4 linked regions of the Drosophila melanogaster genome follow. The protein of the gene in region 4 interacts with the protein of the main gene of each other region in a pairwise test. Each region holds a gene or a part of one and is shown on either strand. Other genes may lie near its edges.

Region 1 (3,264 bases), on a different chromosome or scaffold from region 4:
CGCAATGTTGCCCTTGTGCCAGTTCATGTTTGGTGTTGGAATAACGACTCGGTTCGGATACGGGTAATTTTGTCTGTTTTTGTTATTCCAGAAATATTTTTCTGCCGACAGCTGACTCCCGGGTATCGATATATAGATCTGTCGATAAGTGGTCTAAAAATATATGTTTTTAAATAAAAATAATTATTTTAAAATATTTAATGTTCTTTTATTCCCGTTTTTAAAGAGTGAAGTGTTGTATATTTATTTTACCAAAGTTTTAAATGAAAAGCTGATATCTAATGGTCGATAACACAACTCGATAAAATCTTATTGCCGCCATTTTTTAAATTCATTTTTTGAAATTTTGTGAATATTCTAGAAATTCCAAAAAAATACAACAATTCCTTACAAATTTAATCAAACATTTGTTGTTGTAAAAAATCACAGCACATACAATTATATGCCGATGAAATTATCCATATGAAATGGTCTACATAATAAATCCTATCTGGTATATAAAATAAAGTGGATTCAAGTTTGCTAGATAACTTATAGCTAAATATGAAAAACAAGAGAAAATTCTATTTAGGCGCACGAGTTTGTATTAAGAAATCGAGCTTGATTTGCATAAAGTCTTAGATAAGGATCTTATACATATATATTCAGGAAAAGGATAGCCCCGCACATCTATTTGGTTTATCTTGGACATGTACTCTGTGTACTTCGAATGACTCCAAGTGCGATTAGAAGTTTGTCAGCTGGATGCGTTGATTGCTCTTTGAGTATGAGACGACTAGATTGTCAGATTAGACTCCTGATCGCTGCCACTATCTGTAAGGATAACATGAAGAAGAATGCTTTAAAGTAGTCTGTGGCGTAGGTTCCCTAGAAGACCTGGCACCTACTCTCGTCAATGTCGGAATTCATGATGGAACTGGCCGGTGTCACGGAAATCTCGCTGCGCTCCACGTCCGGCAGTCGGGCTACACGTACAATGCATCTCTTGGGCTTCGGTTTTAACGGGAATGGACGGGAATTCGGAGAAGTCGACGACTTGATGCGCTCCAGATTCACGCGACACTTTCGGACCTGGTACTCCACCTCGCGCTCCACGCTCCGTTCGCCCTGCACATTGAAGTAGGGATGGCGCGGAATCTTGACGATCATTTTTTTAGTCTTCGGTGACATGGTTTTGATTATAAAATTGTTGAAATTTCTCTTTCAAAGTCGAAAAAACCTATCTCCGTAGACGCCAAATTTGCAGAGTTGGTAAACGTCGCAGGCAACCTCGAACTATCTATGGTGGTGGTGGCACTACACTACTCGAAAATGATGGGTAGATTTCAGCTATATGGAATGCTTATTTAAAAGTATGTGTAATATCTATAAAAAAAATTAAAAGAATTATGGAATGTATTTGGTTGTCCGCTCCTTGTCTTAATTTATTTACTATATATTTAAAATTTATATTATATTTAAAACTATTTATTTATCATTTTTGTTTGCCATAGCTGCAACTATTGCATTACACCGATATATACCACGGGTCGAGCTATCGATAGTTATCCATCTCGCCTGGCTTTGTTTTTGTGTGTCATTGTTAATTTTTCGTTTTCATAAATATACGAAACTGAACTATTAATTTTTGGGACGCAATCAGCCAACGCTATGAGTGAAGTGCAGACATTGATGGATATGGGATTCCCTCGGGAACGTGTGTAAGTATCGAATACAATGGCCAACTGGTCACCGGCAAAATAAGTTACACTGCAACAATCGAATTTGCTTTAATCCTGAAATATATTTCACAGTGAATATGCACTGGAGGTGACCAGTAACAAGGGCGTAGAACCGGCAATGGAGTGGCTGCTGGCCCACGTGGATGATCCAATACCATCCCGTCAAGGTGCCGGCGAATCCCCTGGTTCCACAGCTCAACCAGCTGCGGCTGTGGATTCCTCGGCCGCAGCAGCTTCCAGTAGCACCAGTGGCGCAGGTGAAACCTCTGCTCCGGTAGCCAAGTCCCTGAAGTGCGACGAATGCGGCAAAGTTCTTAGAGATCACACCGAAGTGGAGTACCATGCCGCCAAAACCGGTCACACCAAATTCTCCGAATCGGAGGAGGAAAAGAAGGCGCTCACCGAGGAGGAGAAGAAGGCCCAGCTGGCCCTCATCGAGGAGAAGCTCAAGCAGAAACGCATCGAACGCGAGGAGCGCGAGAAAATCGAAGCCCTGCAGCGGGAAAAGAATCGCATCAAGTCCGGCAAGGACATGACCGAGGCCAAGCGGCGCATGGAGGAGTTGGAGATGAAGAAGATCGTTGAGCAGCGCAAGCGCGAAAAGGACGAGGAGAAGGCGGCCCGCGATCGGGTAAAGGCTCAAATTGAGGCGGACAAGGCAGCACGCAAGGCTAGGTAAGGATTAGCCCTATCCTTCCACTTCATAATTCATTATAATTCATGGTATGCAGAGAACAAAAGGAATTGGGCAACGCAGAGCCAGCTCCATCCGTGAGCTCCACCACAGTTTCGTCACCACCGGCCGGTGTGAAATCTCCGCCGCGAGACTACACCGAAACCCGCATCCAGGTGCGCCTGCAGGATGGCTCAACACTACAGGAAACCTTCAACGTCAAGGAGCAGCTGTCCGCCGTACGTGTGTTCATCCAGATGAAGACCGGCATCGAGTCGCCCTTCTCTCTGATGACCACCTTTCCGCGCAAGCTGTTCGCCGAGGACGACTACGAGAAGCCGCTGGAAGTGCTCGGCTTGGTTCCATCCGCTGTCATCACCATGACCAAGACGCCCGCATAAATCTTTCCTACAAACTGGATATATTTGAATCCGGGTAATCTCTCCCATAAACTAGAACCTAAATACGAAAAAAACGCGGCGCGAAATATACCCCCCCCCCCCCAAAAAAAAAAAAAAAAAACAAGAAAAACAATTAATGTACGGTTTTATATATATATTAAACACAACAATCTCAAATACAAGTAAAGTTTTAGAGGATCTTTGAGGGCAATTATTAAATTTCTATTGAAAAGCGATGCTAACTTTCCAATAAACTTTTTTCCTTAAATTACAATAGGATTCAATTTCTATGGCTAATGATTGGTCCTGTAGTTCCTACATGAAGGGCTTCACAAAGTTCTTGATCTTCTTAACGCTTCGCTCGGCGGGTCGAATGTTGAGGTGCTGCCCGAATATGGTGAACTCCATGTTGCCCACTTTCATACCAAAGACGCACTCGCTCTTGGGTATTGTGCGCAGCCGATGGTCC
Region 2 (4,067 bases), on a different chromosome or scaffold from region 4:
ACAAGATGGGCAAATATGACGCGGCTGGCGTTCATTCTGTTCTAACTGTAAATGGAGTAAATGGGTTATGCCATTCACGCACACAAGAAACCATCAACATACCCATATTCCAGTGAGATCCTTGATCTTGGCCAGAACTTCCAGGCAAAAAATTATCGTGGGATTCAGGTGACAGAAACACGAGGCGCACAAATGGCATTGCGAAGGCTTTTTCATTTCAAACATATGATCATTTATCCCGCTGAATTCCCAAAACAATCAGCTGTAGTTTAATTGATTTTATGTTGTCAATTATGGAATAAAAACGGTAAAAGAGCGTACGCAATCCGAGAATTTCTGTTTACTCTCTCTAAGCAGCAAAATTTGTATGAATTACCTGTTTCATGGCGTTACCAGATAGGTGTGGAAAAACTAACTGTTCTTATTTCCTAGAAACCAGGGAACATCGAGCTAGTTTTTATAATTTAAAATTTATATATTATAAACGGGAGGTTAAATTTTCCCAAAAAGAGAGGTTCAAGCTAAAACACACGTTCGGCTAATTCCTGACGTTTTTGAAATTGGTTCCATATAATTTTTATTAAAATAAGCGCGCTGTGCAATTAGAATAAAATATATTTTATAACAAATTGTAATCTAAGACCGACGTTGAATTCCTTCCACACTGGTGCTAATCGTACGGCTGGCTGGTGATTCAAAGGATTTCTCTGAACCACCGAAAAAGTCAGATAGTTTGCATCCCTGGCATTGTGGCGTGTGGAGTGTGGAGTGTGTGGCGCCAACAGTCGATTTTTTTTGTGTGCTTAAAGTTAGGTGTACAGCTCCTCTCCATCGGGAATGGCTTCCTCGTACTCGAAGTCCTCAAAATTTGCGTCCTCATCCTGAAGTACCTCGTGGTCCTCATATTGTTCCTCGTCAATGTTATCTAACATTACGTCCAGTTCAGCCTGGTTGTCCTCCATTTCTGCCTGCCCCTCTTCCATATATCCCGGAAACTCCGCCGGATCGACTTCAGACTGGAATTCCTCTTTTGGACCATTAACCAGCAAGTTGACCCGCTTGCGGTGATACTTTGTGGAGTAGTGCCGATGCAAAAACTGCGCCTCCTTGAACTCCTTGTTGCATGTGAGGCAGCTGTGAAAGAATATGAGTTTGTACATCTATGGCTACGTATATTTCAATGATTCTTACATATGGACATCCGGTTGGTCACTCTTGTGCCCCTCCTCGTGCTTCAGCCGTCCCTTCTCGCTGTTGAATCGTTTGCCGCATATTTTGCACGGGTGCACCAGCTCGTTGGCATGCATTTGACTGTCAAGGTTTTTATGGTTTATATAGATAAGGACTTGTGATGATTAGGCCAGCACTCACCGTTCATGACGACAGCGGCTGGGACTATTGGCGAATCCCATACCGCAGAACTTGCAGACGTACGGTTTCTCGCCCTTGTGATGGACTCGAATGTGCAATCGGAGCAGTGGCATGGTGTAGAACTTGCGACCGCACTCGTCGCATGAAAACTTCTCCTCGAAGTGCCGCAGCTTGTGATCCTTCATGTTGCTGTGATCGTTGAACGACCAACCGCACTGGTCGCACACGTATCGCTTTATCGAGCGATCGACCTTGGGTTTTGGTCGCCGCTTTCTGGGCTTTCGGACGTGCTCCCGCGGAGGTGGCGGTGGACTATCTGCCTTCTCGACCACAGGCACACGAAGCCGCTTGACCCTGACTCGTGGGGACTGTCTGTTCGGGAAATTTTGGTCCTCGATCCGGATTTTTTTGGCCGGAGGATATCTTAAAATCGGCTTTTCGTCCTCCAAGAAATCCTTATCATCATCCATTAAATCCTTATCATCGTCCAGTAGCTCCTTATCGTCCTCGGTGTCTACTGTATCATCCAGCACCTCCCGTTTCAGCAGCGGATCACTAAGCACTGGCGAAACCTCCGGGGAGCCTTTTGAGGCGACACCCGCCTTCGAGGAGATCCTCTGGTGGAGATTTGCGTGCGTCTCCAGGCATCGCTGCCTGAAGGCTACGGCTTGGGTCAGGTCCAGGAGACAACAAGCGCATATGTGCTGGGGCAGCATATTCTCTAAAACGATCTGGAAATGCATAGATTATGAATAATTCCGGACAACAAATAAAAGGGACGCCACCTCTAAGCCCGTGATTTGCTCGATGGCCATCCGAATGCGATGATTGCGCTTCTCGAAGATGTTCTTTGGGTGCGGCGTGAAGATGCGCTCGCCGCAGATCCGACACTCGGTGCTCATTCTTTCGAAACTAAATAAAATTGATTAATTTTAATTACAAATTATAGTAATTTTTGCGCAGCCGGTTTGGTTTTGAAGTGTGACCGTTGTCCGCAACTAGAGGTGTCAAACATTGATGTTTTTAAAATTTTCCGATATATCGATGTTTATTTCAGACTATCGATATTGGTGTTCAAATAAAAAAAAATCGGCACTGCATCCCGTGAATTTTCTTTTTTAATTGAAATACATAATACTCCTAAGAAAACACGCTTTACAAGCGAATAAATAGTTGTATATATCTCCTTTTTTTAGCAATTTATTTTTATCTTTAGGCTACGATTATAAAAATAAAATAAGCATCATAAGCAAGTTTGAAGCTCTTTTGTGTACAGAATTTGTAGTAACTAGCCTAGAAAAAGCGATTAGCAATCAAAGGAAGTCTCTCATAACGTGTAATTGTCAAATCTTTGTCAAAATGCTCTATAGAAATGCCTCCAGTACGGGGGCCGCGATCAGGCGCCAACTCTCCCGCCATCGCAGCTCCTGGAACTCCTGGATTTTGCGCTGAAAACCAGCTCTTGTCTCCAGGATGCTGGGATTCTTTGGAAAATTTTCGAACCAAATCCTCAGCTGCTCGGCCAGCTGAACATGGTCGCCAAACACGAAGCCATTCTCGCCGTGCTTCACCAGCTCATCCAGGCTAAAGAGCCATTTGTAGAAGTTAGTAAGTAATAATAGTAAATGGCAGGATTAGTTACCACTTGAAATCGTAGGCGCAGACAGGCAGCCCGCTGCCGAACATGTCGACCACCTTCATGGGCAGGTCGAGCCCACTGGTGCTCCAGTGCAGACACACGCCCAGGTCGGCGCTGGCCAGAACAGTGGGGTAGTCCTCGATCTCTAGCCAGGGCGTGATCACCGACACCTTCTGCCATTGCAGCTTCTCGATCTCCGCCACATAGTGCTCCTTTTGTGGCCCCTTTCCGGTGATGATACACAGCAGGGAAGGATAAACCAACGGCTCTGCTTGCGCAGTCTCCTCGTAAGCTTGCAAAGCCTTAAGCAGTATACCGAAGTCCTCGTCCGGCGTCCAACTGGTGCTGGAAACCAGCACGGCTTGTCGCTGTGGTCTGTACTGCACAACACCGCTGGCCAGCTTTTGGGTAAGAGCGGTGGCCTCCAGAACATCGGATTGTTCGGCGTCCTTGGCCTGGAACTGTGGGTAGTCTTTGGCCAGCTTCAGGTACAGCTCGTGCTTGTGAGTCAAGTCGATGGGATGGAATTGCGCGGGCGCACGATCATACAGAACTTTGACAGGCCTGAAAGATGAGTCGCGGCTGAGTTATTTACTTCGTTTAGATGGATGTGATGAGGACTTACCCAATGCCCCAGTTTTGCTGCAGATCCTCTTGCATGGCCCGCGTCACACAGAAGTGTGTGTGTGCCTTGGAGCCGAAGTATCGCTCCAGTCGCCTAACCAATCGTATTAGAGGACTCTGCTCTCCCTTCGACATTCCCAATGCCAGCACTGTGTACGTGTAGTTGTGCCAATCGATGGCCAGCTTGGTTCGTGTGACCGCACAGTACAGATAGCACACAATCAGCGTGGGAATGCCGGGCGGATTCTGGACGAGTAGGAAGCTGGGACGGCCAATGGAGATGAGAGCCATCAGCAGACTGAGCGTCTGCCAAAAGGCCTTGAAGAGCAGGCGCAGTTTGGGTGTTAGGTTCGTCACTGGGACGGCAGTTAGCTCGTGGATTCGGCAACGTGGATGTTGAGTCAGTTCCTCCAGCGGCCTCGTCTCCAGATAC
Region 3 (6,563 bases), on a different chromosome or scaffold from region 4:
CTTTCTTTATTTTCTTTTTGGTTTTCAGGGGCCCGGCCCGCTTTGGTCCTGTGAGTTCAACATTTCGGGGGCACGTCTCACGCAAAGGGGCAACTTTTGAAATAGTTCGCACTCGCGCCAAACGATCTGGAATTTTGACGCGGCCCCAGAATCCCGAGGAGAACCAACCGTCAACAAGTCAAAGTTGCGACTGTTTTGCTTTTGGCGCTGCATTGGATACGCGGGGCTCTGCATGAAAGGTGGCCACCTTTGGGGGCAAGCGTGTGGCAACATGTGGCAACGTTGGCCGCGAAACTGAACGAACGTAAAATCGTTGCATAAATTCGAAATAATACTTATTATAATAAGAATATATAAGAACGGAAACGCTGAGCGATGGTTGCTTGTGTATAGAAACATTTTATTATATTAATTATATAATAGAACATTAATAAAAACGAGCTTAAGTTATCCTGTGATTGATAAATATATCAGAAAGTTAAGTGTGTGTTGTTCATAAAGCAAGATAACATCTTTCCATTTATCTATTCAAATTAGTCACAAAAAAATCTCTTTCTAGCACATTAAATTTATTCAATCTGTATAAATTAACTGTAGAATATTCTGTGAAAAAAAAAACATGTTAGGTAATAAAAATAACATCATTTTTACATAGCTTAAAATAAACGGTACAAGACTTTTCACAATATGGCAACGTCAATGTTCGAATGTGGCAACATCTTCAAATGGCGGCAAATTTCGAAAAAGTTTCTCAGCCAATCCCATTGAAAACTGGCAACATATTTTATCCATTTTTAATCTGTTTTCTTTTTACATACATACATTTTATGATGATGATGTACATTAATACATTGAACTTACAGTACATTTAAGACGATCCATACTTAAATATATATATTTATATTTATATATGTGCATGAACGCAAGTGTTTCTTAAATCTAAGTTGTCAAAAAAAAAAAGGATGAGAAACGAACAATACGTATTCTTGAAAGTCAAACTAACGTAACGCTCTGTTTAAGTAGCTTAAACATTGAAAATTGATTTTCTGATTCCGCTTAACCGTTAATAATATTAAAATATTAATTTTTACGGTCTATCGCACACATTTGCAAGTTGAGTGAGTGAGCTGTGTTAAATTTTGTCCCTGTTTTGCTGACTAATTTAGCAATCATATAAGTGCAAAATATTAACGTTTGCACCAATAGCTTTCTCTTGCAAAAATACTTTGGTATTTTCAACGTGAGTTTGCATATAAATTGAATATGTCTTTAAAAATAAACGTAAGACTACTTCTTGATCGTAGGGAGAACTAATTATAAATTCAGTTAAATGTACAAATTAATCGGTCCTTAATAAACCTACGTGTGTGCGTGTGAGTTTGTAGCTATGTCTGTGTCTGTGTGTATGCTTCGGTTTCGATCTGTATCTGTCTATCTGTACTTGGTGCGCAATTTGCCAGCTTACTACGATTCTAACGCGGTCATTATTTCGTCCAGTGTACCCCTCGAGATGGCATGGCGGCTGGAGTTCAACTGAAAGTTGGGTTCTAAAAGGCATAAGCAGAGCAAATAGTTATTAGAAGGTGCATTCAAATTAACATTTACGAAAGTATGAAATATAAGCAAGTTCAAATTGCAACTGGAAATTGTGCATTGCCTATACACTTACACTTAATTAAGATACCCAGACTTAGAGAAGACCAGAGAAAGTACAAAAAATGCCTATTAAGTAGTTGTTTTAATGACAAATGTACGCAACGGGCGAATGTTCATTAAATCAATCAATGGAATGCTTGACCAATGACCAAGTGTCACTAGAGCTTTAACGTAAGAGTTTTTGGCCTCACAAAATAGAGAAGTTTCGTGAAAAGCGAGACTACTTGGCAAGAATTAAAGTAGAAAATGACGTACTTTACTGTCTTGAAGACTTAACAGTCCCCACTTGTACTCCCTAAGTATTCATGCTATTATTTGAGATTGCCTTGCGATGGAGGCGATCGTCTGGCACTCACCGGATAGCTGGTCCATGATGACGTCATCTAGCGTGGCCATGGGATCCTCCATGGGCGAGTAGTATGTCGTTGCCGTTGATCTGGATTCGCTGGTGGGTTCACCATTCACTGTCCTGGGCGCCGAGGGCGGGGTCATAAGCTCGGCCGGCAGTTCGGGTGAATCGATGGGATCACCGATGATGGTTGCTGCTGTTTGTTGATCCTCGTCATCGTTCGGCGCTTTGCTTGCTTTCTGCTCTGTTTCCTCAATGGCTTGTCCAGCTAGCAGCTTGGCGTTATCGCTGGCGGACTTAAAGCTGCAATCGGAGTCACCGGAATCGAGGCGACTGCGCGATTTGGGCGTACTCTGGCGGGATGATGGCGTATGCAATTGACGGACATCGTCCAACGACGTCTGGATCTCCAGCACGTCATCTTCGTTATCGTCAGTTGTGGACGGGAGCTGTGGTGGGGTCGGCAAGTCACTGAACTCCTCGGCATGCTCGACCTCGTCCTCTACTTTCTCAACCCTGTCTTCGTTCGTTGGTTTTTCTAAAGATTTGACGGCGTTATCGCTGATTTCAGCTGCATTTTCCTCCAGATTTTTCTCGTCCTCGTCTAGCAAAACTTCTTCTCGAGCATCTTCCGATTTTTCCTCCGAATTGTCAGCCTCTTTTAACTCTGGCATATCTTTTACTACTTTTTTTTCCTTCGCCTCATCTGTATTTTTCTCTGTTGCATCCACAAATTGTTCTTCTCTATCTCTTTCTACTTCATTTGTCTCAGTTTCGTGTGCGTCTCCCTCTCGCTCATTCGTTTCGATTTCCTTCACTGGTGGTTTGATTTCGACATCAGGATCGGAGGATTCAATTTCCACAACTGGTGAGTTTTCCGTTTTTTTCTCCTTTTTCGTTTGCATTTTGTCAGTCGTCTCCTTTTCGTTTAGCATCTTGTCCGTCTTTTTGTTTGATCTTTCTTTTAGGGGTTTTGGCTGCTTTTTTTGTGCATCCTTCTGCTTTTTTAGTACCGGCTTTTCGTCCTCATCATCACTGATGGTCGTGGTGAAGGATATCTTCTTTTTCTTGGGCGGAGGCGTTCCAGATCTCTGGGACCCCGGCACATCGTTGGGCACTGGACGTAAAAATGGAGAGAATTGCATTAGTTTTAGCTCAATTCTTCTTTAATTTGATTTGGTCAAATCCTGTCATAAAAATAACGAAATCATTTAATACAAAATGAGACATGATTAATGCGATTACATCGAGTTTGATGTCAGTTTAATAAGTGCATCCTCCTACCTATATACTCCTCATCGTCATCATCATTATCTCCACCTCCATCAGACCTGGAGGAGCTGTTGTCTATGCTTAGGCGGCCCAACCTGCGTAACTTGAGCCTTCCGACCACAGGCGTACCGTTGCATGAGCGGCGCCTAACCCGCTCGCGCGAGCCTCCAGAAGATGACGAGAAGAGCGGCGTGGAGGTCAGTGCTATGTCCTCCAGCACATTGCCAGTGGCATCCACACGCTGCAGTCGTGTCGGTTTCGGAGCTCCTCTCGATGAAAGCGAACCGAAAGTAGACCGACGTGATGGACCCCCGGGGCTGCCCAGAATCTCGACGGCCTCGCTGAAGGATACCGCCTTCTTGGGATACACCTTCCTGACAACTCCGTCGCCAATGGGAGGCGGTTTGCAGTCAGGCCACTTGGCACTTGGTAAACGCGTCCTCCTCACCTTCACCACACAGCCAAAGAAATGCGCGCCATAACGCTTAACCAAATCCGGATCGGTGTTGCGTCCGCGACTGGATAATCTCTTCGCCTTGATCTTGGGCTTGGGACTTCGCTTCAGTGCGGAGTGTGTGCTTTCAGAACTCTTGGCCAAACTGGGCGGCGGTGTATGAGCGCGCAACGAGTGGTTCAGAGCACGCTTTTTGGCGCCATTCTGCAAAGGAACTTTGATGTGGAAATTGGTCTGCGCTGTTGATGACTTTTGTTTCTTAGGTGACGTTTTTCTCTTTTTGTGCCTGCTACGGCCACTAGTACCGCTCTGGTTAACGATCTCGGGCACATTGATAAATGATGAATTGGCCAAAGATTCGACGGCCGAATCGATTTCTGTCTGTTTCAGGCGACGTAATAGCACCCGCACCTTTCTTTTAACATTCGGCGACTGCTGATCGCTGAACATCTTTTGCTGAGCCTTCGTCTTGGTGGGAACGACCACCATCGATTGCTGGTCCTCCTCGATGGCCTCGCCGTCGTCGTCAATGGACACTTTTGGCCTCTTGTTGTGCGGCGTCGATGCAGAGACAGTGGATTTCCTGCTTTTGTTTGGTTTTGAGTTAGCCACGCTCTTACGCTTCCTCTTGGCCAATGACTCGTCGAGATGGTCGAATGATGTTTCCGAATCAAACAGATCAATGCTGCACTGTTCGACATTCTTTGATTTTCTCGACATGCGCAAGTCATTCTCGTCCAATTGGTTTCCACTCTCCAGGAGGTCTGACAGAAAATGGAAAAAACGATTGGAGGTTATTAAACTTCTAGGATTGCCAGCCAATTTGCAGGCAAACAAAATTATGCTCAATTTACCATTTACGTCGATTGGCGAATCGGGCGGTATGGGCGACGGAGTGGAGAGCTTGGTGTCCACCGGATTAATAGTTTGCGGCGGCGGCGCCGCTTTGACCATATCAAAAATATCCATTATCGCAGGTTTCAGCCCTTTGCGATTTTCCCACGAAAATGAAAATTAGCAAAGAGCGCAGATTTACCGCTTTAAAATATACGGTTAATATGCGCTTACAGATGTGTGTTTTGCGCAATTAGTGAGGCCACTGTACCACGGACTAATTGTGGCGCGAGGAGCACTCGATTTGCCCACTTAATCAGCAGATGCGACTTTTAAAATCGCGTTTGCATTCAGGTAACTTTCCTGATTAATTTTACACACTCCTAAAGACGCCATCTAGCTGGTGTGCCCGTGCGCAGATACCGCGAAAATATTTCACCGCCTCGGCGCATTTTTATGGGTTATTTATGTCGCCAACAATCATTAACCACAAAATGTATTTTAAATTTATCAACAAATAGCCTATTTCCTATCATTAAACGACAAAGATCTTATGGACACTTTTCATCAATGGAATGCTGAACAACAACTTATTACTCTGAGCAACATAACTCCATTAAGATTCATACTTATCTCATATGGTTGAATGTTTCAAAATCATTTACAAACATGTAATAACAGCACTTGCAGCCCACTGTACAGGTTTGAGTCTGTGCTAAACAGCTATCATTGGTATTTTTGGTATTATTCAAATAATCGATAATGCAGTAGAAACTTTTCTATCGGTTATCAGCTATCTGCGCTTCAGAGAATTTTAGTATATGGTAATACTTATTTAGCGGCTTACTTCAGCTTTTGCGCGACGGTCACACCGCCAGTGGGCGAAAAAAAACATTCGTGAATTCACCGTCGTCGAACGAACGCTGTATTTTTTTCCAGTGCAATATTCGGTCGATGTATAACGAGTGATTGAATTAAAGTAGTCCTTTTAAAAAAAGTACTAGTATTTAAATAAAAATAAAGTCATACAGAACAGCATAGGGAGAGAGGGCGAGAGAAAAAATTGCTGCTGCTGAGGTGTGTGCAATTGCCTGTGCGTGTGTGTGTGTGTGTGTTTGTGTGACGTTTACAGCAGCAAAAAGTTCGGTAGTGTCGTCAAAATAATCGTGTATTATAAAGTTAATGCAAACGATTCTCGATCGGATACGAGTTGATCGCGACATATTGAGTTCGTCGAATGTGGAAAAGTCTAGCTGATTGAAAACGAAACGCGGATAAAAAAAAAACGATAAACAACGGCAATTTGTTGCTGCCGCAACAGCAACAACAACAGCAGCAGCGCACTAACGCAACCACCACCACCCCCTGTTCCAGCCTAACGGTTCATTTACAGTGGCCGAAGAAGCAGCAGCAAAGGTGAGGTTCCAGCATCTTTATTTATATTTTATGTGTCGTTCTTCTTCATCATCTTTACTTCTTCCGTAAAAAAACTCAATGTGTGTGTGTAAACATTATCAACGAAAAAAGTGGAGTGGGAAAAAATACAGAAACTTTCTTTCGCTGTCTGTGTGGGTTTATGCTCGCGTGTGTGTGTCTGTTGCTACCTTTTTTTTTTTACAAATTAGCGAAGCAGCAAAAGAAAATCGGGTACAACTAATTTTGTATGCTTAAATTTCGCGCATTAATGTAATTAAAAGCGTCCATTGTCCATTGTTCATCGCTCATTGTCCATCATCATTCATCATCGTTCATCATCGTTCTTTGCAGCTTCGCTGAGCAACAACAACAACAATGACAACAGGGCAGCCCTGCTCTTACTTCCTTTTCCATTTCCATTCCTATTGCCATTCCCATTGCTCATTTCCCATTGCCCGCTTCCCTTTCCCAATTCCTCTTTCCCAATTCGCTTTGCTCTTCCACTCCCACCGCATCAGCTGCTCCTGCCACTAGTTGTTGTTGTTGTTCCTGCTCTGTTGTAACCTTGTCTTGCTCTCCTTT
Region 4 (2,860 bases):
GCCACGCCCACCTGCTGGTGGGCCCCTCAATTAATTATACTTTTTCAATGTCAAAATGTCGCTGCAAGAAAGGTGCGCCACCAATTTAACCCTTTTTTTTATGTACGTATTAGTTGACTGCGTGAATCTTGAGGCGCCTGCAACATGGAATCTGAGAGCTGAGTCTGATCCTGCGGCTTAACCTTCTTTTCTAATTGCAGGTTTTCCAACGCCCCGATGTGAAGGTCACTGACAGCATTAAGTGCACTGGAAAAAGTTTAATGAGGCAAGTGCACCATTTATGAACTGTTTTTTTTATGAACTTTCAAATACCCCTACAGACTTTTCGCTCGGTGTATACATACACGTATAATTTCGCGCCCGGCAGATAATGCCGCCGGCCTGTCTCCAACATCAAGCTGCGTCTAGGAGGCGGAGGGCGTGGCTGGGCCGAGCTAAACTCACTTATTCACCTGCCCGCATGCCAACAAAGTGCAGCATCAGCAACCAGTTCGCATGAAAATGCATAATCAATCACCAGCGACAACGGCGACCAGAAAATGAAGAAAAACTCGTGGCAGAAGAGTCAATACTCTTTATTGACATTGCACCGCAATGTCTTCGGTGCACAATAGTTTTATGGACTAGGCATTTCGTGATCGTTTCTTCCTGGGACTCGGAGTGGTCTCATACCCATTGTCCGACTCCAAGTCTTCTTCATCGCCCTCATCCGTGAACACAATACGCTCCTCGTAGAACGAGATGACCATTTGGGGGCACCGAACGTTGAGCACTTCGGCGGGCACCAGGCCGGCTTCGTCGCAACCCTTCCACTGCATCAAAAAGGTCAGCTTACCGGACCAGTTGCAGGCTCCTAAGATCCGCAACGGTTCGAGTCCAAGATCAAATCCATTTCGTTGCTTCACCGGAAGAGCAGTAGAGGACGTCAAAGTGGAGCTGGGCATCTTCCGTTTGGTTTTAGATATCGTGGGATTTATTTCAATGTAATCTATTTTTCTTTTTTCGACGCGCGTAGCCAATTGTCACGTTTTGTCAAGTGTTTACACACCGAGATATTATTTTTCAGTTTCGATAACTGTAGGTATCGACATGCTTTGGCAACCCTTTCGATGTGGCAGCCCTAAATGATTAATTTGAAAAGCGTTAGAGAAAATGGAAATAAAATTGTACACTCCCCTTGACTGGACATATTCTTTCAGATTTAGTTAGGGTATTGTGCATTCCAACGCCCATTGAGCGTATCATTGGTGCATCTTCATCTGACATTTCGCACGACTCGAATGTCAAGGCGCGATTGCCGGCGATACTACTTGCGATATTGGCCTCTTACGCGGCTCCACTTGTTAACTTGAATTCGTGTAAAGTGGCCGCTCATTAAAAACTCATAAATCAGGGCGGAAGGGAGGAGGGTTTTCGGTGGCACCGCCGCCAGTAATTGCCGTTGCTGGCCCAGTGTCAAAATAAAGGCAAAATAAAGGAACCCAACTCGTCGGCGGAAATGATCGGCCACCAGGTGATGGGGATGGTGGGAATGGGGCATATGGATACTACAGCTAGCTGCCAGTAATTTCCGCATATTGGAAGTCTCGTACTCTCAGATGGGCATGTGATTAATGATTAATCTGCTCGGTGCATCCGCCGCTATGACATTTAGCCAACGCCGCCTGAGAACCCGCTGCAGCAACAAAAAGAATCCGATTCGGAATCAGAAACAGAAACAGAAGTCGGTGGCGGGGTGGCCAGTTAAAGCCGAGGTCTCCGGTCGCCAGTTGGAGCCATTAAACGCCGCTGGAGCTGCTTGGGCGCACAATTTAAAGCAGCAACTAACGCAGTTAGACAACAAACCACTTTCAAGAGCTGGCTGGCAAACAGGGAAAACGGCTTTCAACTCGTTTCGCTGCCCGCTCAGATGCAGTTGCATACACTGAGGAAAGTGATGTATGAGTTCTTCAATTTAATCGATTTTTGTGTAAGAATATTTGGCTCGGTGTGTATGTATTCCAGAAAAATAATTAATTCCAAAAGTATTTAGAAACAACATAAACTTTTTCTACATTTTCCAAAAGCTTTTATATTTAAGAACATATATATTATTAGTTTTTCATAGGAAATAATTTTCCTTCTCAAAACATATTTTTTCAAGTGTACTGCCGTTAATGCTGCTGATGCCGTGGGTGCAGCCGTTGAATGTTGCATGCTGCTAGTACGTTCAACTTTTGCAGTTAACAGTTAGATTTTGAAATGGCCAGCAGCACTGGCATCGTCGTCGGCAATGGTATCGGTTCTCTGGGATTCCAGTTTTCTGGCCACAGCCTGAGAACCCGGCGATCAAGATGCGCGGCTCCACCACGACGGAAGGAAATTGCCGTCCAAGGCGAAGTCACAGCTCCGATCGCAGCATTGCGCACATCAAATAAATACTGGTACTTGGCAATTTTTGTGTTAAAACAAAATTAAAGCAATGCCAGCCGTGCTGCTCTGCGGTGTAACATTAACCCAAATACATAATTCCCATTCTCGCCTCATCGGCATCGGACAAGGATCGGCGCATTAATCATTGGACGGCAGGGGGACAGCTCTTGGGAAGCGGCAGCATATTTGGGTTTATGGGTGAGCCCCAGTATCCTAAGCAGGAAATCATTAGAGTGCGATCCAAGGAATCCGCAGGGGTTTGGCTCATGCATACATACTTATACGTATTTCTTGGGAATTTTTTTATAGATCTTGGCTCTGCCTGATGGTCGGTTTCTAAGCCATCAAGCGGAGATCATCGCGTGACTGGGCAACAAAAACCCATTATAAATTCCTCACATTTATGATGTGTCCTTCTGTCAGCGATGATAAAAGATCCTACCAATCT

The links.
Region 1: the proteins of HP6 (region 4) and HP4 interact in a two-hybrid assay, tested with the Drosophila melanogaster proteins (2 studies listed by BioGRID).
Region 2: the proteins of HP6 (region 4) and Odj interact in a two-hybrid assay, tested with the Drosophila melanogaster proteins (one study listed by BioGRID).
Region 3: the proteins of HP6 (region 4) and HP5 interact in a two-hybrid assay, tested with the Drosophila melanogaster proteins (2 studies listed by BioGRID).

What each region holds. Positions count from the first base shown.
Region 1 is NT_037436.4:7,974,875-7,978,138, forward strand, and holds HP4 (heterochromatin protein 4), read right to left. Parts: upstream 1,281-3,264; 5' UTR 1,171-1,280; coding exon 888-1,170; coding exon of another isoform or gene 868-887; exon of another isoform or gene 814-867; coding exon 776-813; 3' UTR 564-775; downstream 1-563. Other genes in the region: CG8042 (uncharacterized protein), read right to left, coding at 1-27; CG8209 (uncharacterized protein), read left to right, coding at 1,651-1,700, 1,794-2,396, 2,453-2,795; POP4 ribonuclease P/MRP subunit, read right to left, coding at 3,111-3,264.
Region 2 is NT_033777.3:17,806,845-17,810,911, forward strand, and holds Odj (oddjob), read right to left. Parts: upstream 2,379-4,067; 5' UTR 2,274-2,378; coding exon 2,157-2,273; intron 2,103-2,156; coding exon 1,372-2,102; intron 1,312-1,371; coding exon 1,192-1,311; intron 1,135-1,191; coding exon 810-1,134; 3' UTR 563-809; downstream 1-562. Other genes in the region: CG17801 (uncharacterized protein), read right to left, coding at 1-45, 103-225; Alg1 (ALG1, chitobiosyldiphosphodolichol beta-mannosyltransferase), read right to left, coding at 2,736-2,955, 3,014-3,574, 3,636-4,067.
Region 3 is NC_004354.4:11,453,214-11,459,776, reverse strand, and holds HP5 (heterochromatin protein 5), read right to left. Parts: upstream 4,992-6,563; 5' UTR 4,701-4,991; coding exon 4,586-4,700; intron 4,496-4,585; coding exon 3,290-4,495; coding exon of another isoform or gene 3,264-3,289; exon of another isoform or gene 3,193-3,263; coding exon of another isoform or gene 3,161-3,192; exon of another isoform or gene 3,123-3,160; coding exon 2,013-3,122; intron 1,548-2,012; coding exon 1,465-1,547; 3' UTR 550-1,464; downstream 1-549.
Region 4 is NT_033779.5:4,577,160-4,580,019, forward strand, and holds HP6 (heterochromatin protein 6), read right to left. Parts: upstream 1,060-2,860; 5' UTR 945-1,059; coding exon 624-944; 3' UTR 560-623; downstream 1-559.